Stegostoma tigrinum: one gene and its partners. The protein of the gene in region 1 interacts with the protein of each later gene in a biochemical or structural test. Links are inferred from orthologs where the notes say so. Each region holds a gene or a part of one and is shown on either strand. Other genes may lie near its edges. The genes, in order: xrcc1, aptx and polb.

Region 1 (8,026 bases):
GTCCACCTATCTTCATATCATCGGCAAACTTCACCAGAATGCCCCCAGTCCCTCCATCCAGATCATTAATATATAAGGTGAACAGTTGTGGCCCCAACACTGAACCCTGAGGGACACCACTCGTCACTGGTTGCCATTCTGAAAAAGAGCCTTTTATCCCAACTCTCTGCTTTCTGTCAGACAGCCAATCCTCAATCCAAGCCAGTAGCTCACCTCGAACACCATGGGCCCTCACCTTGATCAGCAGCCTCCCGTGAGGCACTGTATCAAAGGCCTTTTGGAAGTCTAGATAGATAACATCTACTGGGTTTCACTATTCTAACATACTTGTTACCTCTTCAAAGAATTCCAACAGGTTTGTCAGGCACGACCTCCCCTGACTAAATCCGTGCTGACTTGTTTTAATCCAACCCTGCAATTCCAGGAATTTAGAAATCTCATCCTTGACAATGGATTCTAGAATTTTACCAACCTCCGAGGTTAGCCTAATTGGCCTATAATTTTCCATCTTTTGTCTTGCTCCTTTCTTAAACAAGGGGGTAACAACAGCAATTTTCCAATCATCTGGGTCTTTCTCAGGCTCCCTCTCCCATTCTCCCCATCCCTCTCCCATTCTCCCCATCTCGCTCCCATTCTTCCCATCCCTCTCCCATTCTCCCCATCTCGCTCCCATTCTTCCCATCTCTCTCCCATTCTTCCCATCTCTCTCTCATTCTCCCCAACTCTCTCCCATTCTCCCCAACTCTCTCCCATTCTCCCCATCTCGCTCCCATTCTCCCCATCTCTCTCTCATTCTTCCTATCTCTCTCCCATTCTCCCCATCTCTCTCTCTCTCATTCTTCCTATCTCTCTCCCATTCTCCCCACCTATCTTCCATTCTCCCCATCTCTCTCCCGGTCTCCCCATCTTTCTTCCATTCTCCCCATCTCTCTCCCATTCTCCCCATCTCTCTCCCATTTTCCCCATCTCTCTCCCATTCTCCCCATCCCTCTCCCATTCTCCTGATTTCTCTCCTATTCTCCCCATCTCTCTCCCATTCTCCCCATCTCTCTCCCATTCTCCCCAACTCTCTCCCATTCTCCCCATCTCTCTCTTATTCTCCCCAACTCTCTCCCATTCTCCCCATCTCTCTCCCATTCTCCGCATCTCTCTCCCATTTTCCCCATCTCTCTCCCATTTTCCCCATCTCTCTCCCATTCTCCCCATCCCTCTCCCATTCTCCTGATTTCTCTCCTATTCTCCCCATCTCTCTCCCATTCTCCCCATCTCTCTCCCATTCTCCCCAACACTCTCCCATTCTCCCCATCTCTCTCCTATTCTCCCCAACTCTCTCCCATTCTCCCCATCTCTCTCCCATTCTCCCCAACTCTCTCCCATTCTTCCCATCTCTCTCCCATTCTCCCCAACTCTCTCCCATTCTCCCCATCTCTCTCTCATTCTTCCTATCTCTCTCCCATTCTCCCCATCTCTCTCTCTCTCTCATTCTTCATATCTCTCTCCCATTCTCCCCATCTCTCTTACATTCTCCCCATCTCTCTCTTATTCTCCCCAACTCTCTCCCATTCTCCCCATCTCTCTCCCATTCTCCGCATCTCTCTCCCATTTTCCCCATCTCTCTCCCATTCTCCCCATCCCTCTCCCATTCTCCTGATTTCTCTCCTATTCTCCCCATCTCTCTCCCATTCTCCCCATCTCTCTCCCATTCTCCCCAACACTCTCCCATTCTCCCCATCTCTCTCCTATTCTCCCCAACTCTCTCCCATTCTCCCCATCTCTCTCCCATTCTCCCCAACTCTCTCCCATTCTTCCCATCTCTCTCCCATTCTCCCCAACTCTCTCCCATTCTCCCCATCTCTCTCTCATTCTTCCTATCTCTCTCCCATTCTCCCCATCTCTCTCTCTCTCTCATTCTTCATATCTCTCTCCCATTCTCCCCATCTCTCTTCCATTCTCCCCAACTCTCTTCCATTCTCCCCAACTCTCTCCCATTCTCCCCATCTCTCTCCCATTTTCCCCATCTCTCTCCCATTCTCCCCATCCCTCTCCCATTCTCCTGATTTCTCTCCTATTCTCCCCATCTCTCTCCCATTCTTCCCATCTCTCTCCCATTCTCCGCATCTCTCTCCCATTTTCCCCATCTCTCTCCCATTTTCCCCATCTCTCTCCCATTCTCCCCATCCCTCTCCCATTCTCCTGATTTCTCTCCTATTCTCCCCATCTCTCTCCCATTCTCCCCATCTCTCTCCCATTCTCCCCAACACTCTCCCATTCTCCCCATCTCTCTCCTATTCTCCCCAACTCTCTCCCATTCTCCCCATCTCTCTCCCATTCTCCCCAACTCTCTCCCATTCTTCCCATCTCTCTCCCATTCTCCCCAACTCTCTCCCATTCTCCCCATCTCTCTCTCATTCTTCCTATCTCTCTCCCATTCTCCCCATCTCTCTCTCTCTCTCATTCTTCATATCTCTCTCCCATTCTCCCCATCTCTCTTCCATTCTCCCCATCTCTCTCTTATTCTCCCCAACTCTCTCCCATTCTCCCCATCTCTCTCCCATTCTCCGCATCTCTCTCCCATTTTCCCCATCTCTCTCCCATTCTCCCCATCCCACTCCCATTCTCCTGATTTCTCTCCTATTCTCCCCATCTCTCTCCCATTCTCCCCATCTCTCTCCCATTCTCCCCAACACTCTCCCATTCTCCCCATCTCTCTCCTATTCTCCCCAACTCTCTCCCATTCTCCCCATCTCTCTCCCATTCTCCCCAACTCTCTCCCATTCTTCCCATCTCTCTCCCATTCTCCCCAACTCTCTCCCATTCTCCCCATCTCTCTCTCATTCTTCCTATCTCTCTCCCATTCTCCCCATCTCTCTCTCTCTCTCATTCTTCATATCTCTCTCCCATTCTCCCCATCTCTCTTCCATTCTCCCCAACTCTCTTCCATTCTCCCCAACTCTCTCCCATTCTCCCCATCTCTCTCCCATTTTCCCCATCTCTCTCCCATTCTCCCCATCCCTCTCCCATTCTCCTGATTTCTCTCCTATTCTCCCCATCTCTCTCCCATTCTCCCCAACTCTCTCCCATTCTCCCCATCTCTCTCCCATTCTCCCCAACTCTCTCCCATTCTCCCCATCTCTCTCCCATTCTCCCCATCTCTCTCTCATTCTTCCTATCTCTCTCCCATTCTCCCCATCTCTCTCTCTCTCATTCTTCCTATCTCTCTCCCATTCTCCCCATCTCTCTTCCATTCTCCCCAACTCTCTTCCATTCTCCCCAACTCTCTCCCATTCTCCCATCTCTCTCCCATTTTCCCCATCTCTCTCCCATTCTCCCCATCCCTCTCCCATTCTCCTGATTTCTCTCCTATTCTCCCCATCTCTCTCCCATTCTCCCCATCTCTCTCCCATTCTCCCCAACTCTCTCCCATTCTCCCCATCTCTCTCCCATTCTCCCCAACTCTCTCCCATTCTCCCCATCTCTCTCCCATTCTCCCCATCTCTCTCCCATTCTTCCCATCTCTCTCCCATTCTCCACAACTCTCTCCCATTCTCCCCATCTCTCTCTCATTCTTCCTATCTCTCTCCCATTCTCCCCATCTCTCTCTCTCTCTCATTCTTCCTATCTCTCTCCCATTCTCCCCATCTCTGTTCCATTCTCCCCAACTCTCTTCCATTCTCCCCAACTCTCTCCCATTCTCCCCATCTCTCTCCCATTTTCCCCATCTCTCTCCCATTTTCCACATCTCTCTCCCATTCTCCCCATCTCTCTCCCATTCTCCCCATCCCTCTCCCATTCTCCTGATTTCTCTCCTATTCTCCCCATCTCTCTCCCATTCTCCCCATCTCTCTCTCATTCTTCCTATCTCTCTCCCATTCTCCCCATCTCTCTTCCATTCTCCCCAACTCTCTCCCATTCTTCCTATCTCTCTCCCATTCTCCCCATCTCTCTTCCATTCTCCCCAACTCTCTCCCATTCTCCCCATCTCTCTCCCATTCTCCCCATCTCTCTCCCATTTTCCCCATCTCTCTCCCATTCTCCCCATCCCTCTCCCATTCTCCTGATTTCTCTCCCATTCTCCCCATCTCTCTCCCATTCACCCCATCTCTCTCTCTCATTCTTTCCATCTCTCTTCCTCCCAACCCAATCTCTCTCCTCATTCGTTTTGGTTTGGGGGGGGCCTGCCAGTCACAAAGATGGCGGCGGCCTTGCCTGTCTCACGTACTGGCGCTTTAGTCTAACCCTTGACCTTTGCTATCCTGGCGCCGCCCGTCCCCAAGAAGGAAAGAGCCGAAAGTAAAAAATGTCCCTCATTGTGACCTGAGACTCGCTCTGCGATGACAGCGGCAGGAATGCTGCTTCAGATTTTTTTATTTGAACGCTATTCAAATCCGAAATAAGTTTTCCGTCGAGGAGCGGGGAGTGTGACCCGGAAATGGAATGCAGAGGGTGAGCCCGCGGCGGGAAGAGGCAGGAAAAAAAATGGACGAAACCCTTAAGTGTTTAAACCTCGCTTAAGAGACGTTTTCATCGCTGCTGCGCCGATCCATGAGGAAAACCCCCTGTTAAATATTGCCCCCTGTCACTCCCGAGGGGTTTTCAGCGCGATCCTGAGATTTTTTTTTGTTTTGACTGTCACATCGAACAAAGTCCACACAGTCGCATTTTTTTTTTTAGCCATTTGTATTCTCCCCCTCACACCAGTTTGCAGGATGCCCGAGATCAAGCTCCAATATGTCGTGTCGTGTAGCAGTGAAGACACGGTGAGCATAACCTCCATCCCTTACCCAGCAGACCGCTCACTTCACCCTCTTGGCCAATGTTCGTCAGGCAAGTTGTTGACCTTTGGGATGGCACTTGACGCTCTTGTGTCATTGCCTGTTCTGTTGGCACCTCCAGGACGATGCCTGTCGCTCGGCCCCTTTGGGTGGTGTTGGCGCTGGTAGGGCTATCCCTCGGACCGCCCCTCTGAGAGACCCCCGTGTTCAGGACCTGGCTTTCCTTTGTGCAACTCCACCTCCGAAATGGTGAAGCGGGCACGACCTTCCGACAGGGAGCTGCCCGTGGGTTGAAACAGGGCATTTCCTACGAGGGCTAGTATTCGTGCGTTGGGCTGAATGGGTGTCCAGCCATTCTGGGATGTGAGGGAGCGGGCACTGTCGGAGGGTCAGTGCTGAGGGAGCGGGCACTGTTGAGGGTCAGTGCTGAGGGAGTGGGCACTGTCGGAGGGTCAGTGCTGAGGGAGTGGGCACTGTCGGAGGGTCAGTGCTGAGGGAGAGGGCACTGTCGGAGGGTCAGTGCTGAGGGAGTGGGCACTGTCGGAGGGTCAGTGCTGAGGGAGCGGGCACTGTCGGAGGGTCAGTGCTGAGGGAGCGGGCACTGTCGGAGGGTCAGTGCTGAGGGAGCGGGCACTGTCGGAGGGTCAGTGCTGAGGGAGTGGGCACTGTCGGAGGGTCAGTGCTGAGGGAGCGGGCACTGTCGGAGGGTCAGTGCTGAGGGAGCGGGCACTGTCGGAGGGTCAGTGCTGAGGGAGCGGGCACTGTCGGAGGGTCAGTGCTGAGGGAGCGGGCACTGTCGGAGGGTCAGTGCTGAGGGAGCGGGCACTGTCGGAGGGTCAGTGCTGAGGGAGCGGGCACTGTCGGAGGGTCAGTGCTGAGGGAGCGGGCACTGTCGGAGGGTCAGTGCTGAGGGAGGCGCCGCACTGTAGGAGGGTCAGTGCTGAGGGAGTGGGCACTGTCAGAGGGTCAGCGCTGAGGGAGTGGGCACTGTCGGAGGGTCAGTGCTGAGGGAGTGGGCACTGTCGGAGGGTCAGTGCTGAGGGAGTGGGCACTGTCGGAGGGTCAGTGCTGAGGGAGTGGGCACTGTCGGAGGGTCAGTGCTGAGGGAGTGGGCACTGTCGGAGGGTCAGTGCTGAGGGAGTGGGCACTGTCGGAGGGTCAGGGCTGAGGGAGTGGGCACTGTCGGAGGGTCAGTGCTGAGGGAGTGGGCACTGTCGGAGGGTCAGTGCTGAGGGAGTGGGCACTGTTGAGGGTCAGGGCTGAGGGAGTGGGCACTGTTGGAGGGTCAGTGCTGAGGGAGTGGGCACTGTCGGAGGGTCAGTGCTGAGGGAGTGGGCACTGTTGAGGGTCAGGGCTGAGGGAGTGGGCGCTGTCAGAGGGTCAGTGCTGAGGGAGTGGGCACTGTCGGAGGGTCAGTGCTGAGGGAGTGGGCACTGTCGGAGGGTCAGTGCTGAGGGAGTGGGCACTGTCGGAGGGTCAGTGCTGAGGGAGTGGGCACTGTCGGAGGGTCAGTGCTGAGGGAGCGGGCACTGTCGGAGGGTCAGTGCTGAGGGAATGGGCACTGTCGGAGGGTCAGTGCTGAGGGAGTGGGCACTGTCGGAGGGTCAGTGCTGAGGGAGGCGCCGCACTGTCGGAGGGTCAGTGCTGAGGGAGCGGGCACTGTCGGAGGGTCAGTGCTGAGGGAGTGGGCACTGTCGGAGGGTCAGTGCTGAGGGAGCGGGCACTGTCGGAGGGTCAGCGCTGAGGGAGTGGGCACTGTCGGAGGGTCAGCGCTGAGGGAGTGGGCACTGTCGGAGGGTCAGTGCTGAGGGAGTGGGCACTGTCGGAGGGTCAGTGCTGAGGGAGTGGGCACTGTCGGAGGGTCAGTGCTGAGGGAGTGGGCACTGTCGGAGGGTCAGTGCTGAGGGAGTGGGCACTGTCGGAGGGTCAGTGCTGAGGGAGTGGGCACTGTCGGAGGGTCAGTGCTGAGGGAGTGGGCACTGTCGGAGGGTCAGTGCTGAGGGAGTGGGCACTGTTGAGGGTCAGGGCTGAGGGAGTGGGCACTGTCGGAGGGTCAGTGCTGAGGGAGTGGGCACTGTTGAGGGTCAGGGCTGAGGGAGTGGGCACTGTTGGAGGGTCAGTGCTGAGGGAGTGGGCACTGTCGGAGGGTCAGTGCTGAGGGAGCGACGCGCTGTCAGAGGGTCAGTGCTGAGGGAGTGGGCACTGTCGGAGGGTCAGTGCTGAGGGAGGCGCCGCACTGTCGGAGGGTCAGTGCTGAGGGAATGGGCACTGTCGGAGGGTCAGTGCTGAGGGAGTGGGCACTGTCGGAGGGTCAGTGCTGAGGGAGGCGCCGCACTGTCGGAGGGTCAGTGCTGAGGGAGCGGGCACTGTAGGAGGGTCAGTGCTGAGGGAGTGGGCACTGTCGGAGGGTCAGTGCTGAGGGAGTGGGCACTGTCGGAGGGTCAGTGCTGAGGGAGTGGGCACTGTCGGAGGGTCAGTGCTGAGGGAGTGGGCACTGTTGAGGGTCAGTGCTGAGGGAGTGGGCACTGTTGGAGGGTCAGTGCTGAGGGAGCGGGCACTGTCGGAGGGTCAGCGCTGAGGGAGTGGGCACTGTCGGAGGGTCAGTGCTGAGGGAGTGGGCACTGTCGGAGGGTCAGTGCTGAGGGAGTGGGCACTGTCGGAGGGTCAGTGCTGAGGGAGTGGGCACTGTCGGAGGGTCAGTGCTGAGGGAGTGGGCACTGTCGGAGGGTCAGTGCTGAGGGAGCGGGCACTGTTGAGGGTCAGGGCTGAGGGAGTGGGCACTGTCGGAGAGTCAGTGCTGAGGGAGTGGGCACTGTTGAGGGTCAGGGCTGAGGGAGTGGGCACTGTTGAGGGTCAGTGCTGAGGGAGTGGGCACTGTTGAGGGTCAGTGCTGAGGGAGTGGGCACTGTCGGAGGGTCAGTGCTGAGGGAGTGGGCACTGTCAGAGGGTCAGTGCTGAGGGAGTGGGCACTGTTGAGGGTCAGTGCTGAGGGAGTGGGCACTGTTGAGGGTCAGGGCTGAGGGAGTGGGCACTGTCGGAGAGTCAGTGCTGAGGGAGTGGGCACTGTCGGAGACTCAGTGCTGAGGGAGTGGGCACTGTTGAGGGTCAGGGCTGAGGGAGTGGGCACTGTTGGAGGGCCAGTGCTGAGGGAGTGGGCACTGTCGGAGCGTCAGTGCTGAGGGAGCGCCGCACTGTCGGAGGGTCAGTGCTGAGGGAGTGGGCACTGTCGGAGGGTCAGTGCTGAGGGAGTGGGC
Region 2 (8,286 bases), on another chromosome or scaffold:
AGTCTTCTGGCACCTCGCCTGTGACTATCGATGATACAAATATCTCAGCGAGGGGCCCAGCAATCACTTGTCTACCTTCCCATAGAGTTCTAGGGTACACCTGATCAGGTCCCAGGAATTTATCCACTTTTATGCATTCTAAGATGTCCAGCACCACCTCATCTGTAACATGGACACTTTACAAAATGTTGGTATTTATTTCCCCTGTTTTGTATCTTCTATATCTTTTTCAACAGTGAACAAAAATACTTGTTTAGTATCTCCTATTTCCTGTGGTTCTGCACATGGGTGGCCTTGCTGATCTTTAAGAGGCCCTATTCTCTCCTTAGTTATCCTTTTATCGTTAATGTATTTGTAGAATCCCTTTGAATTCTCCTTAAACCTATTTGCCAAAGCTATCTCACGCCCCCTTTTTGCCCTCCTGATTTCCCTCTTAAGTATACGCCTACAGCTGCCTTTTGACTCTTCTAAGGATTCACTCTATCTCTGCTGTCTGTACCTGACATACACTTCCTTCTTTTTCTTGACCAAAACCTCAACTTCTCTCGTCATCCAGCATTCCCTACACGACCAGCCTTGTCTTTCACCCTAACAGGAACAAACTGTCTCTGGACTCTCATTATGCCATTTTTGAATGCTTCCATTTTCTAGCTATTCCTTTAGTTGTGAACATCTACTTCCAACCAACTTTTGAATGTTATTGCCTAATACCATAAAAATTGGTCTTCCTCCCATTTAGAGCGTTAACTTTTAGGTCTGGTCTATCCTTTTCCGTCACTGTTTTAAAACTAATAGAATTGCATGAAACAAAACTTGGAATTAAAATTAAAGCTTGGAATGCTCTGTAGACACACTTGTTTTATAAAAAAAACATGAGTGAATATGACAATGTTGTCTATTATAAATAAAATGACATTACCGCATCAAAAAGGACTGATATAGCAAAGAAAAATTGCACTTTTATTAAATCATAGGATGTGGACTTCCCCGGCAAGGCCAGCGTTGATGCCTATCTGTAATTACTTGTGAAGGTAGCAGTGACCTGCCTTCTGGATGTACTGCAGACCATCTGAAGTGACTTTTAAGGATCTGAGCCAGTAATATCAAGGAACAACAATACATTTCAAGGTTAAGTTAGTGAAAATTGTAAGTGCTGATGTTTGATAAGCCTGCTGTCCCTGTCTTCCTAAATGATAGAAATTGAGAATTCTAATGTTTTTGAGTAGATCTGTAGCTCGGGTGATGGATGTTATGGTTGGTTGGTTTGCTGAGCTGGTTTGTTGTTCCACAGACTTTTCAGTACCCTGCTGGGCAACATCATCAGTGCAGCATCCGATTAAGTGCTGTTGTGTTTTCCAGCCTGGTATTTAAACTCTGTCAACAGATAACAAGAACCAAGAAAAGACAGTTTCTTCAAGAAATCGAAAATTGAGAGTTCAAAACTCAACACAGCAAATCGTGGACTAAATTCTGCTACTTAATAAATTAAGAATAAAGGTAGTGATCATGTAACTACTGATGTTATCAAAATACACTTGATTCATTAATGTCCTTTCAGAAAGGAAGGTGGCCATTTTTGCCAACTCATCCTATATTGACGCCAGACCTATATCAATGTGGTTGGCTCTTAAGTTCCCTCTAAAATGGATTTAGGCAGCCATGAAGACAGTTGAGCAACAACTACTCAAGGTTTATTAGAATGGGCAATAAATACTGACATTACTAATGACAGCCATGTTGTAACTGAGATAAACCTACAACAGGTTGTCTTTTAAAGTGCTTCAGGAATGAGAACAGATCTGATATATTTGATCAAGTTAGAAGGCACATTACTCAACATTCCACCAATGCAATATCTGAACTTAAAATAGCCAATGTTGATACTTGGTCTTTAGGTTCCTCAATTCCTATCAATTGCCTGAATATTCAAGAAGCATTTAAAATACCAGGGCATACTAGGATATGGGACCAAGTGCAAGTTTAGTTAGGTATTTGTTGATCAATATAGACATGGTGGGCCGGACAGCCTGTTTCCACACTGTATGACTCTGATAAGGTACATATAGAGCTTTCAAGGCATGTGGGGTATGGGAGGAAGGGAGAGGTGTCCATAGCTGCCCAACACAAATATAACAGAAAACTCCAATAGAGACTTCAGAAGAAACTTCTTTACACAGAGTTAGGTGTTTGTTTTTGACTGGCATGGATACAGAAGGGGCTTTTTCTGTACTGTAGATTTCCTGTGACTTCCAGAGTGATGGGAATGTGAAACTCACTTCAAAGTGCTGCAGCTCCGCTTTAGACACAATCAGTTGAACGGACTCCTTTGTTACAACAATTCTGTGATTTTGAGTAGGTGAGGCAGAAAAAAACATGGATGCAGTTAAGGGGAAAGCTTGATATGTGTATAAGGGAAAAAAAGAACATACGCTAAAGAAAAATAAGAAAAGTATAGCGGGAAATGTAAATGCTAGCACATGAGTTGGTGTGAATAGCTTGTTACATCATTTTCTTTTATAGTCTCAAAAGAGAGCTACTTTTATCCCTTTTCAGTTCTGGTATCCAAGATTTCCCCGACCATATTTAGTAAAGGCATTGACTTGTACAATTCATAATACAATCAATCTTTAATTCATTTACAATAGTCAACCATGGATACATCATTCACAGTTACAGCAACAGATATTGGCCACAATACACAGCTACATTTCGAACTACAATTAACAAAGTCTAGGGCATACAGATAACTTGGAGTTTAAATTATTCTTTGGTAACACTTTTGGCAGCACAAACATAATCAGTTTAGCACTACATCAAAAATATGTAAACAAATGAGTCATTTTGAATTGTCATTTTCAAATCAGTTATTGTAAAGCATACATTCCACAGACAAACTCAAACTTGTAGTGGGATGCAGCCGTCACTGCCTAAGCTGGCATTTATTACACGTCCCTAACTGCTCTTGAGAAGGTTATGGTGAATTACCATCTTGAACCACTGCAGTCCATGTGGCGAAGACAGTTACACTGTTATTTGGGATTTTGACACAGCAACAGTGAAGGATGGCAAAATAGTTACAAGTCAGGATGGTGCGTGGTTTGGAGGAAAACTAGCAGATGATGGTGTTCCCATGCATAAGCTTTCATTGTCTTGTCAGTGACTATTATTTTGGAAGGTACTGCCCAAAGAGAAAACTCTAAATATCTAGTCAATAACACTGATTTGCTCTAATTTATTACTCTTTGTCAAAATAAATGTTATGTTCATACAAAATGTTACCAGAACAAACAGGAGTAGGCCATTCAGTTTCCTCAAGCCTACACTGCCATTCAACAGCATCATGGCTGATGCGACACATTCCCTAAATCCACTTTCCTCATAACCCTTAAGGAAAGGCTAGGAAAACCTGGATTGTCTTCTCTTGAGTGGCGCAGGCTGAGGGGATACTTGATAGAAGTCTATAAATTATAAAGATGCACAGAAAAGGTTGATGGTCAGAATCTCTTTTCCTGAGTTGAAATAACAAATACAATGGAGCATGCATTAAAGGTGAAGGCGGGGGTGGGCAAGTTCAAATGAAATGTGAGAGGCAAGTGTTTTTTTTGCAGAGAGTGGTAGGAGTCAGGAACACACTGCCAAGGGTGGTGGTGGAGGCAGATACAATCAGAGCATTTAAAGGACTTTTAGATAAGCACATGAATACGCAAGGAATGGAAGGATAAGGACCAATGGAAGGCAGGAGGGATTAGTTTCATTTGGCGTCATGTTCGGCACAACATCATGGGTCGAAGGGCCCGATTCTATATCTCTAAAACTGCTCAAAGTATTCCAGATGTTTTCTCACCAGGACCTTGTACAGTCGCAGTAAGACTTCCCTACTCTTACATTTCTATCTCTAATCACAATACACTTAGCCTAATCAATGCAAACAGTAATCTATCATTGAAGCAAACATAAAAATGAACTCCTGGCTTACTAAACACCACACAAACCTACAGCTCACAGAAGAATGAAAAATATATAAAAACTTATACCACTGGCAGGAGATTGGCTCCTTCAGAGACACCACAATTCAAATGGGTTCTTTCTGTGCTGTAACATTCCTTCTAATTGAGGCCGCACCAAACTGCAATTCTGTGAAAAATTCCAGTGGAGTAGTCATGCAAAAATCTCAAAGTTTAACTCCTCCGGTGCAACATCAAACCCAAGAACCAACTGCTTAATCGGATGCTTCAGCTAATTACTAAAGCTTCCATTTTCACTTTGAGACATAGCCAACACTCAAACAGCAATCAATATTAGATAAATTCATAGAATCCCTACAGCTTGGAAACAGGCCCTTCAGCCCAACAAGTCCACAACGACCCTCAGAGCATACAACCCAGACCCACCATCCACCTAATCTTCACATCTTTGAACACTATTGGCAATTTTGCATTGCCAATCCACCTACCCTGCACATCTTTGGACTTTGGGAGGAAACAGGAGCACCCAGAGGAAACCCACACAGACACAGGGAGAATGTGCAAACTTCACATAGAAGGTTGTCCGAGGGTGGAATCAAACCTGGGTCCCTCGTACTGACAGGCAGCAGTGCTAACCACTGTATGACAACCAATTATTTGGTCTTACTCAGTTGAGAGACAAAAAGTATCTGCATATGCTAGAATCCAATCAGTACCCAAAATGTTGGCTGCTCCTTTCTTCCAGGTGCTGTCTGGCAGGCTGTGTTCTTCCAGCCTCCTGTTTGTCTTTGTCAAAATTCTCTCTTAAATCGTCCAAACAACAAATAATTGTAATTAAAAAGAGAAAATGTTGGCAATATCATATCAGTTTGTGGAGAGGGGGAAAAAACAAGAGTACTAAGGTAGAGATAGTAGGAACTGCTGATGCTGGAGAATCTGAGGTAACATAACAGCTATGAAGCTGGATGCACACAGCAGGTCAAGCAGCACCAGAGGAGCTGGAAAGTTTGACGTTTCAGGTCGAGACCCTTCTTCAGAAAATGTTCATCCAGCTTCAGACCGTGTCATCTAAGAGTAATAAGGTAACATTTTCTTAAAAACAGTGAGTTATGACCTAGATGGGCTACCTGAAAGACAGGAGGAAGCAGATTAAATGTAGTGAATTTCAAAAGGGAATCAGGTAAGTATTTGAGAAGGAGGAATTTGCAAGGTTTCTGCCGGAAATAAGCAGAGGATCTGGGATAAACTGAAAAGCTCTTTCAAAGAGCCAGCGCAGTTTATGATACCAAAGGGACTGCGACCAGAACAACAAATGAGATTCTCTGATACAACAAGGTGTGGAGCTGGATGAACACAGCAGACAAGCAGCATCGGAGGAGCAGGAAGGCTGACGTTATGGGCCTAGACCCTTCATCAGATCCTCTTCCTCGCCATCAGTCCCCGGCTCACGACGGCTACATCGTCTGGTTTTTTCAACGAACACTCAACCTGTGTCAGGGAATGAGGGAAGGAACCGAGAAGGTTTGACAAAGAATTTTCGACACTTCACTTCCGATACAGCTATCTATGTCATTAAGCCGGTCGCCTTTACACTCGCGAGACGGTCAGTGACAAGAGCTCCCGCCTTACAAAGATGGCGTCCACGCGGCTTTTCCTCTACGGTGCGCGCATGCGCGGCGCAAGTTGCACATGCGTGATCTAAAGCTGGGGTGTCGCAGTGCACGTCGGGGAACACTTTCAATTGCTTTTTGAAAATAAATAGTTAAATCGTAGAGCGATGTGGGAAACCTAAGTGACACGTTTGCTCTTTAAAGTGTTACCCAGGCCCTGGTGTGGGAGTTAGCTGGCTGCGGTTTTGTTTTTTTTTTAAACAGCTTTCCTGAGCGGAGCCTTTGGGCCCACTGATTCCAGGGACTGTCAGACCTGCTGCAGTCAGGTAGGACTAGCTTCAACAATGAGCGTGGGTAGAGGTCCATTAATAGCCCTCAAGGAAATTGGGTACACTCATGAAAAGGAAACACGTAGGAGAGTAGGACTAGTGTTTTCAGACAGCCAGCACAGGAATGACTGGTCTGCCTTGCGTCATCATTCTAGTTAGCTCTTCTACACGTTGTAATTTAAGCCGCATCACTTTAAACATTTTTAATAGCTTTGCAAAAGTAATGGCTGTTACCCGTAAGCTGAAAGACGTTCACTTTTGTCTCCGGAGGCGATTGTTTGAGTCTTCTCACGAGAAGCCTTGAGACAACACTCTAACGCAGTCCTGAGGAAGTGTCACGTTATCAGGGATTTCTTTCCAATGATATTTAATTTGAGACCTCATTCTCCCCCTCAATAAGATAATCTGTTCACTGTGACACTGGAGTGAATGAGACCATGATATGAACAAATCAGATGTCCGGTGTCCTATATTAGAGCTGTGGCAACATATCTAAAGCAATAGGTTTAAGCTGCTTTTGGATTATGAAAGGTGCAAGAAGATGCAAGTTCTTCTTGCTTTCAATTTGAATGATTATAAAATTACAGTACATTTGTTTCCTACCCAGTGCTATTGCTTTAGCTTGCTTAGCACTTCATTTAGATTAGGTTTGAACGTCAGTGTCCTGGTTGGTTAAATTGTAGCCAATTTTTTATTAAAGAAAACTGTTAGTTTGTATTTCTTTGATTTTGGAGCTGTGGATTTGTACAGAATAAATGAATCCTTAAGTGCTAAATTGATTTAGGTTTTTAATAATTGAACACATTACAATGGAGACTTACATCTTTATAGTTTTTAACATTGTGGTGATTTATGAGCAATTGTGAAACAAGACAACACAGATCCTTGTAAGGATGTAATAGGACAAATGGCCAACAGCTCTGTCAGACACATACTTTAGGGAATGCCTTAAAGAAGGAGAGAAATAAAGAGGTTCATGGAAGGAATTTCACAACTTTGGCCTTTGGAGCTGAATGCATTGTATACAGCATTGGGAGGTTATAATGAACAAGAGACGATTTGGCATACAGAGACCTTGGACAGTTAGAAGATAAGGGATATCTCTGAGTGTAACTAATTTTCTGTCTTGCAGAATAATGCGAGTTTGTTGGTTGGTTAGTAAAGATGGGAGGCACCAACCAATACAACTGGCACACTTAGTCTGTGTTATGATTGGAAGGAGTCCTGAAACCAAAATAACAGATAAAAAATGTTCACGGCATCAAGGTGAGTGGTAACTTTTTTTGTATGAAATTTCCAACGGCTTCAAAACAAATTGGATATTGCTTAGAAATCAGTAGGTTAGAGATATTTGCAAGCTGAAATGACCAAACTGGAGGAGAAAATGGCTCTATTGGCATGGAGATAATGTCCTTGGGAAACTGGGTTGAATACAAGGGATCTGTGGACTGGAGTAGGGTCAGTAGTTTAATCAAATTTGTTCAAGAAACATTAAGCAGAACGTTCCATATTAGATAACTAAGTGTGGGGCTGGATGAACTTAGCAGGCTAAGCAGCATCTTAGGAGCACAAAAGCTGATGTTTCGGGCCTAGACCCTTCATCAGAAAAGTGGGATGGGGAGAAGATTCTGAAATAAGTAGGGAGGTGGACTGAAGATGGGTGGAGAGAAGAGTATGGGTGGGGAGGTAGGGAGGGGATAGGTCAAGGGGGTGGGATGAGGTTAGTAAGTAGGAAATGGAGGTGTGGCTTGAGGTGGGAGGAGGGGATAGGTGAGAGGAAGAACAGGTTAGGGAGGCTGGGACGAGCTGGGCTGGTTCTGGGATGCAGTGGGGGGAGGGAGATTTTGAAGCTGGTGAAATCCACATTCATATTAGATGTTTTGGCGACTTGATGAGCTAGACGCTGAAAGGATACTTTCTTTCATGAGGGAATCGAGAGCTACAAAGTAAAGGTTCAATTTACGATGGAATTTCCTTCCTCCAGTGAGCCGTGGAGGCTTTTCATTGAATATATTTCAGGCTGAATAATAGATTTTTGATTGAAAAAGCAGTCAAGGAATGAGCGGGATAAGAGTCAGGCAAGAAAGTGGAGCTCAGGCCACAGTCAGATCAGCTGTGATGTGACCTTTTGGCTAGTGGAGAATTTTCAAAAGGCTGCATACCCCGCTCCTGTTTTTCATGATCTTGAAAAGATGACTTATTCGTAACCTATAGTGAGACCAGTCATAGTCCATCTGCTACTGTTCTGGCTGAACAAAGACTGTGGATTGAACCTGGAAGTTTACTTTGGCGGTTTCACTGATATCTCATTGGATAAACTTTCTAATCCATGCTACAAGTTTGTTGTGGGGGCCGGTTGTACGTCATTAATCTTTGGGATTT
Region 3 (8,555 bases), on another chromosome or scaffold:
CAAGTGTGGTCTACCTAGTGCCTTGTGCAGTTTTATCAAGAAGTCCTTGTTTTGTACTCCATTCCTGCTGAAATCAATGCCAACATTCCATTTGCTTCCCTATTACCCACTGAACTTCACAGAATCAATATGGAAACAGGCCATTTGGTCTGTCAAGTCCGCACCAATGCTCCAAAGAGCATTACTCCCCTCCCACCAACCCATTCCTGCAGCCCTGCATTTCCCATGGTTATTCTACCTAGCCTGCACATCCCTGAACACTATTGGCAATTTACTTTGGTCAGTCTACATAGCCTGCACATCTTTGGGCTGTGGGAGAAAACAAAAGCACCCAGAGGACAATCAACGCAGACATGGGGAGAATGTGCATATTCCACACAGTCCTCCCCAGGGTGGAAGTGAACCAGAGTCCCTCAAACTGTGAGGCAGCAGCACTAGCCGCCCAGCCACTGGGCCATCTAAATGCTAGCATTTTGGATCTATGCGTGAGGACACCCAAATCCTTCTGTGCTGCATCTTTCTCCACTTATTCAAATAATATTCAGCATTTCTACAAAAAATAAAAACCAAAGAACGAGGTTCCGCATGGCAGACTAACTGGTTAAGTTAGATGACATGGGATTCAGGGTGAGCTTGCCAACTGAATACAAAATTGGCTTAATGGCAGGAGACAGACATAGGTGGTGGAGGGCTGTTTTTTTTCAGATTGGAGACCTGTGACCTGTGGTGTTCCACAGGGTTCAGTGCTGGGTCCACTTTTGTTTGTCATTGATATGCGAATACAGAGAGCATTGTTAATAAGTTTGAGGATGACACCAAAGCTGGTGATATATCAGATAGTGAAGGTGGTTATCTAGGATTACAAAGGGATCTCGATCAATTGGATCAATGAGCTGAAGTGTAACAAATAGAGTTTAATTTGGATAAATGCAAGTTGTTGCATTTTGGTAGGTAAAACAAACAAAGGCAAGACTTATACTATTAAAAATAGATCTTGGGTAGTGTGGGAGAAAAGAGAGAACCAGGAATCAGGTACATAATTCTTTGAAACTGGCATCATGTAAAATTAGGGTGGTTAAGGTGTTCAGCATGCTTGCCTTCATTGCTCAGACCTTTATATTTTGGAGTTGGGACGTTATGTGGCATTGGTAAGGCATCTTCTGGAGTACCATGTCCAGTTCTGGTCTCCTGATACAGGAATGATATTATTAAACTGGAGAGGGTTCAGAAGAGAGTTACCAGGATGTTGCAAGGAACAGAAGGTTTAAGTTATAAAGGAGATGCTGGATAGGTTGGAACTTTTTCGACTGGAGCGTAGGAGGTTAAGGGGTAACCTTATAGAGGTTTATAAAATCATGAGGAGTATAGATAAGGTAAATGACAGGTGTCTTTTCCCTTGGGTGGAGGATTTCAAGACTGGGGACATATTTTTAAACGGAGTGGAGAAAGATTCAAAGAAGACTTGAGAGGCATTTTGTTTTTTTAACAGAGAGTGGTTCATGTGAGGAATGAATTTCCAGAGGAAGTGGGGGATACGGGTACAGTTACAACATTTAAAATACATTTTAAAGTACATGAAGAAGAAATGTTTGGAGGGATATGTGCAAAGTGCAGGCAGGGGGGACCAGTTTAATTTGGGATTGTGGTCGGCATGGGCTGTATGGACCAAAGAGTCTGTTTCTGTGCTGTATGACTCTATAACGCAGATGCTAAAAATCAGAAACAAAAACAGTATTTGCTGGAAAAGCTCAGCAGGTCTGACACCATCTGTGGTATAATAACATTATTTCATGAAAAATAAAATCCACAAGAACTGCAGGTGCTTTAAATCAGGAACAAGAGCAAAAATTGCTAGAAAAGCTCAGCAGATTGCTCTTTTGGTCCTCTTGCCAAACTAGGGAGAATGGAAGATCTGAATATTATTTAAATGGGGAAAACCAGAGAAAGTTGCACAATAGATGAATTTGGAATTCTTTTTCATGAATCACAAAATGCTGATGTCCAAGTTCAGTGGGTAAAAGGGAACACAATGGATTATTGGCTTTTATTTCAAGGGGAATGGAGTATTAAAAACAGAAAGGTCTCGTTAAAACTATTCAAGGCTTTAGTCAGCCCACATCTAAAATATTTTGAACAGTTTTCATCCCCTTATCTAAGGAAAGATGTACTGGTGTTGGAAGCAGTCAAGTGAAGGTTCCCTGGGTTGACTCTGGGTATGAAGGGATTTTCTTATAAGGAATGCCCTGCCTGCAATAGTAGTAGACTCACCAACTATAAGGGCATTTAAATGGTCAGTGGATAAACATATGGAAGATAATGGAATAGTGTAGGTTAGATGGGCTTCAGATTGGTTTCACAGGTCAGCACAACATTGAGGGCCGAAGGGCCTGTACTGTGCTGTAATGTTCTATGTTCTATTAGGACTGTACATAACTAAACGTTTCCTCACTTACACTCCATCTGCCGAGATCTTGCCCACTCATGTAATCTCTCCACGTCCCACTTGAGACTGTATTATCCTCACCACTCGCTTTCCCATTTATTTTTGCATCATCTGAAAACTTGGTTACTGTACACTCATTTTCTGCATCCAAGTTGGTATCATATATTGTAAACAATTGTGGCCCTTGCAATACTCCAGGAGTTGCTATCCTGAAATTACCCCCCTCATCCTAACTCTATTTCAGTTAGTCAGCCAATCCTCTATTCACACTCAAAACAAAGGGTCTAGACTCTTCCCAAGAAGGGTCCAGACCTGAAACGTCAGCTTTCCTGCTCCTCTGATGCTGCTTGGCCTCATGTGTTCATTCCAGCTCTACACCTTGTTATCTCAAAACAACAGACTCCTCGAAATGTAGTCTAATGAGGTACTTTATTAAACGCCTTTTGGAAATGGTGCGCATCTGGTTTATGAGTGGGTTCAGGCTGTAGCTCTAAAAATTCAACATAGTATTAGTATCAGGGTAGGTATCGATTTCGGGAATGGATTTCGGGTTAGAATTATGATTAGCTGCTTTAGCTGGGGTTTAGTTTTACGTTCTGCTTTGGGTTCAGGGTTAAAAATTTGAATATTGCAAAGATTTAAAAATGGAGAAACAGTAAGGCCCGCTTTCAACACCGGCTGGGGAAGGTCTGCACTGTCCTGACATTCCTTCTCGATTAATGACAACCCGATTTCCCTAGTTCTCCCTGAGGATCGGAACGACACATCGATCCCAGGCCACCGCTGCCTCTTCCTCCCTTCCTCTTACCGATTAGGAAATCGGTGATCCCCTCGTTGAGCGTCTCTTGCGGCGCTTTCCTCTTGCTCATGGTGGCGAAGGACGATAAAGTAACCAGGCAACCTAACGCTAGCCGTCACTTCGCGTGACCGTCGGCTCTGACAAGGCTCTCCCCCTCCAAAACCCGGGGATGTCCTGTCAGGAAAAGGCCAGGCTTCAGCCGCGCTGCTAGGCCGCGTGCGCGCGACCAACGGCCAGCTGGGATTTAAACCCGAACGGCCGCGCGCGTGACCCAACCGTCACCCAGATTACAGGTACCATCAAAACTTATTTGTGGCAATGTACAATCACGTGTTGTTTTAACATAGGCATCCCGGAACAATTATTGTTTGATTTACTTTATTTTGCGCTCCGTTTACACATTGAAATTATAGGATTCTTTTCACGAATGGCCGTGGAGACAATGAAAGTTCCTCACCCCACTGTTCAAACCATGTTGTTTTCCCCAGGACATTCGTCATCACCAACCCCGACCCTTTCAAACGACTTGCATATTGTGTGTGTGTCCGTCCAGAAGTGCTCTTACACACAACTGAACGATTTCCCCGCCCCATCACCAAATCACCCGTGTCAGACTCGTATTTACATAGCATCTTTTATTATCCCATAGCCAATGCCTCCATGTGAGAATGTAGTCGAATCAGAGTGAAAGGGGTTCCTGGCGTGGGCGTTCTTGTCATTTAACAGGCCACTTCAGGGGTTAATTCCGTTCCCCCCCGTCTTCTCTGCTGGCTCTCTGCCTCATTAACTCGCGAGACAGAAAGCTGGATGGCCGATTCAGCACGAGTAAACTCCTCCGAGTCGCTAATATCAATGTTTCTGGGCTTCCAACAGTGCCTCAGATTAATTTACTCACAAGATGTGGCCAGCACTGGCTGGACCAGCTCTTATTCCCCATCAGCAATTGCTCGAGGAGGTAGTGCTGAGTTTGCTGTGAAGAGCATCATTTGACCTCTCCAGTAACGGCAGTTGAGAAAACAGAACCTGAAGAGGTTTGGGGAGGGGAGGAAGTAATACTTAAGAGTTAATGTCCTGCTGATCCTGAAGCTCCATTTTGAAGTATACTAGATGATTCAGACCAGTATAGGTCAGTCAGAAGCTTTACTAATTTTGCTTCTGCTGATGGGAGAAACACTTTAAAGCCCTCTGTCCACAGTGTCCACACGAAAATTTTGATTTTTGAGATCGAGTTCTCATAACAATGTAATGCTGGCTAGATCATCTATTCTCACAATATCGGCTGAAGGATAAATTAGCCAAAACTGCAGGGAAAACTCCCCTGTACTGCAAAGCAATCTTTTATATCTACCCAACATATTTAACATTTCATACAACAACTGTGCAGCAACATGGAATACCAGTCTTAATTTTTGTACTGAAGTAGGTCCTGAATTATGATCCTAACTGATGGTAACATTGTGAAGTCTGATTTGAATCTATCCAATGAAACCTAAATTGATAAACCATAAATTTTATTTCTGTATGTTTTGGGCTCTCTGATGAAGTGTCTAGGCGCGAAATGTCAGCTTTTGTGCTCCTAAGATGCTGCTTGGCTTGCTGTGTTCATCCAGCTCCACACTTTGTTATCTTGGATTCTCCAGCATCTACAATTCCCATTATCAATGATAGTAGGAACTGCAGATGCTGGAGAATCTGAGATAACAAGGTGTAGAGCTGGATGAACACAGCAGGCCAAGCAGCATCAGAGGAGCAGGAAAGCTGACGTTTCAGTCCTAGACCCTCTGGCTTGCTGCAATGTTCCAGTGAAGCTCAGCACAAGCTGGAGGAACAACACCTCATTTTCCGCTTGGGGACACTACATCCCTCTGGACTCAATATTGAGTTTAATAACTTTACGGCCTAAACACCCCCATGTCCCAGCCCCCCCACCCCACTCACCAGGCCTTGTTACCACATAGCCCGTCACTATACACCCTCTGTTGTTAGTCACTAACAGTCCCCATTAACAACTGTTCACCCTCCGAGCCTGATTGTTAGCAATTCTTTTGTCTGTCCAACTGTCTTCCTCTCTCTTTGGGCTCTGTCTTATTGTTTACTCCCTACCCCACATACCTCCCTATTTTCTGCATATAAACTGACATTTTCGCAGCCACCATCGGTTCTGAGGAAGGGTCACCAGACCCAAAACATTAACTCTGTTTTCTCCTCCACAGATGCTGCCAGACCTGCTGAGCTTTTCCAGCAACTTTGTTTTTGTTGCCTCTGATGCTGCTTGGCCTGCTGTGTTCATCTAGCTCTATGCCTTGTTATTAAAGAATATCAATGTTTATTACACACAACAGGGGAAAAATACATACAAGAACTGTGAAACATTTTTTTAAACAATTCAGCCCTTTATCCTCAACAGTAAAACAATATCTTACAGACATTCAAAGTCCAGTGAAAATTCAGTGAAGATTTTCAAGTTTCTTGTTGCATTTAAGTGGTTGGACTTGGCTTCTTTGCAACAAACTTCTGAATTCATTCAATGCTACTTCTTCAACTATTACCTCTTCCCAAGAGTTTTAAACAAACTGCTAACGCTCTTCACTTATTTCCTAACATAGATTTTTTAAAACTCCTATTCCACAGACTTCTGTTTCTGGAGCTTTCTCTTCCTGACAATATAACCACTCGAGATCTTTCTCCGAACACCACTTTGCACACTGCTAGGTTAACAAGGACTTTACAGACATAGACCTGTCTTCTCTTGCAGAAACCTGTACACCTCCTGCCTGGCTCGCTCTTTCTAAAAGAGCTGGTTCCTGTCTATGTCTCTGTCTTTGTCTCCCTGTGTCATAGGGCAGCTTCTTGCTAGACAACAGCACTTTTTCCCCCACACCCTTGTTTTATTAAAGCACTGAACTCTTCATAGAGTCATACAGCATGGAAACAGACCCTTTGGTCCAACGTCATCCATGCCACCCAAATTACCCAAATTAGTCCTACTTTAAATGCATGTTCGTATGTTTCCATATATCCTGTTCACTGAACTCAAAAATGAAACTTAAGTCCTTCCTAACATACATAATGAAGAAACTGAAGGCCCTTCCCAATTTAGATTGCAAGTCTCCAAAGGAAATCATGAACTTTCATCACAATTGAACTAGTTTCCTCCTGTAACAGACTGTTTTCCACTGACTGAGCTGCATCGGAATCAAGTCCCTTTTTGCAAAAAAAATTATAAATATGTGGACCATTATGTTGATTACAGCAGCTGTTTGGCCTGTTCCCATGTATGTTACAAGAGAACTACAACTTGACAAAGTAGCGCAACTGTTGATCGGAGGAATTCCATTTCTAACAAGCAATCCTATTTTACATTCAATATAGTCTAACATTATTGACGCTGTTTTTTTGGAATGTGAATGGGAAATAACATTTTGAATATGAAAACCATGACTGTATAATTAGAGATATAAAACCAACCTGCTGAATTATTTTGCTTTTGACTTGAATAGTTAGAAACTTACATCCTCATTAACATGTTGCACGTAAATCTAAGCAGTGTTATATCCTTAAGTGTGCAGCGTTATGGACCAGACCAAAACTCAACATTCAGAACATAGTCTAAACTCTAACTTTTTTTTTATTTTAAGGTTAACGTTAAGTGTTGCATTTCAGATACAATTCGCTTGGTTAAACTACCAGATTTAAAGCAAAACACATTTTATGAGAGTCATAGAGCTTTACAGCATGGAAGCAGACCCTTCTGTCCAACTCGTCCATGCCAACCAGATATCCTAAATTAATCCAGTCTCATTTGACAGCATTTGGTTCATATCCTTTTATACCCTTCTTATTCATATACCATCCAGTTGCCTTTTAAATGTTGTAATTCTAACAAACTCCAAATGTCCAGAGATATGAGATACTAGATAGCAAAGGCAGCAGCTGTGCAGGTTACTGCTGTGTCAAACTGCAGTGTAAGTTTCTTTCTCCATTTGAATCACTGTTTTTGTCTCTCTTCCTCCTTTTTAAAGTGACATTGTTTTGATTTTATTTTCCTCCCAAAGTTCCAAAACAATCGAACAGCTTAAAGAATAGCAATTATTGCTCCTAGAATTTGAGGAAATCAGTACCAACACTGAAAATACATCAAGGGAGCAGCTCCTACAGCCGTAATGTTTTTCCCATCCTCCATCTTGAATTACCTAGAGTTCCAACTTTTTAAAACAAAACCTCAAGGCCATACATGCACTTTAGTCTAGTAGTTCTGCTAGACTGCTCGATATCCCGCCTTAAAACCTCTCTTCAAAAAAAACCTGCACAAAATAACCACTGTTAAAGCCTGCTATCATCACAATAACCAGGTACCAGTTATCATGATGATTAAGCGCAGTGAGGGACAGAAGAAATGTACAGCCACTGGCCCCAACACTCTTTTACATGATGACATGAAACTGGTCTTGTCCAGGCAATGAAAGATTCAAGAGAGAGCGAACCTAACAATTTCACCTTGAAATGCAATTGCATTACCGTGAATACCACGCAGGCACAATTACCAAATAACAGCTACAGACCAAAAACACAAATGGACCTATGACATAAAAGCAATGGCTACAAGAGCAGGTCAGATGCTGGGATTTTATGGCGAGTAACTCACCTCTTGACGTCCCAAAGCCTTCAAGAATCGACAAAGCTCAAGTCAGGAATGTGATAGAATACTCTCTCCTTGCCTGGATGGTGCTGCCAACTATAATGAAGAGCATTTACACCAATCAGTCCATTTGACTGGCAGCCCATCCACCATCATTCACTCCCTCCACCGTTGAAACACAGTGGCAACAGTGTGTACCACTGACAAGATGCAATGCAACAACTCAAGGTGGCTTCAGCAGCACCTTCCGAACTTGCAAACTACCACAAATATGGACAATGGTAGCAGATGATGGAAACACCACAACCTGCAAGTTCCCCTCCAAACCACTCACCATCTTGATTTAGAACCATATATGAAGCTATTCCTTCACTGTCACCAAGTCAAAATCTAGGATCCCTCTTGCAAACACAATTCTAGCTGTATTCACACCACATGGACTTTTGCAGTTCACCATCACTTTTGCAAGGGATTAGGGATTCACACAGAAGCTGATTTGACAGCTGATTTCACTTTCCACGAAATCATGTTTTTAAACACATCTTCAGGACAACCTAGAAGCATTACACAGCCATCGAGTACTTTCAAATTACATTTAAAAATTAAACAAAAAGAAAACATAAACTCAGGATCTCCATAGCTTTGTGACCTGAAAATGAATGAGTTTTAATTCA

Evidence for each region.
Region 2: the proteins of xrcc1 (region 1) and aptx form a complex in vitro, tested with the Homo sapiens proteins (2 studies listed by BioGRID). The link is inferred for Stegostoma tigrinum from reciprocal best matches to the Homo sapiens genes XRCC1 and APTX.
Region 3: the proteins of xrcc1 (region 1) and polb form a complex in vitro, tested with the Homo sapiens proteins (5 studies listed by BioGRID, with this or other methods). The link is inferred for Stegostoma tigrinum from reciprocal best matches to the Homo sapiens genes XRCC1 and POLB.

What each region holds. Positions count from the first base shown.
Region 1 is NC_081394.1:5,015,479-5,023,504, reverse strand, and holds the start of xrcc1 (DNA repair protein XRCC1), read left to right. Parts: upstream 1-4,427; 5' UTR 4,428-4,706; coding exon 4,707-4,757; intron 4,758-8,026. UniProt on the Homo sapiens protein: Scaffold protein involved in DNA single-strand break repair by mediating the assembly of DNA break repair protein complexes. Negatively regulates ADP-ribosyltransferase activity of PARP1 during base-excision repair in order to prevent excessive PARP1 activity.
Region 2 is NC_081356.1:29,976,803-29,985,088, reverse strand, and holds the start of aptx (aprataxin), read left to right. Parts: upstream 1-4,956; 5' UTR 4,957-5,047; intron 5,048-5,306; exon of another isoform or gene 5,307-5,486; intron 5,487-5,648; exon of another isoform or gene 5,649-5,901; intron 5,902-7,036; 5' UTR 7,037-7,040; coding exon 7,041-7,170; intron 7,171-8,286. UniProt on the Homo sapiens protein: DNA-binding protein involved in single-strand DNA break repair, double-strand DNA break repair and base excision repair.
Region 3 is NC_081393.1:16,183,146-16,191,700, reverse strand, and holds the start of polb (DNA polymerase beta), read right to left. Parts: upstream 3,485-8,555; 5' UTR 3,313-3,484; coding exon 3,252-3,312; intron 1-3,251.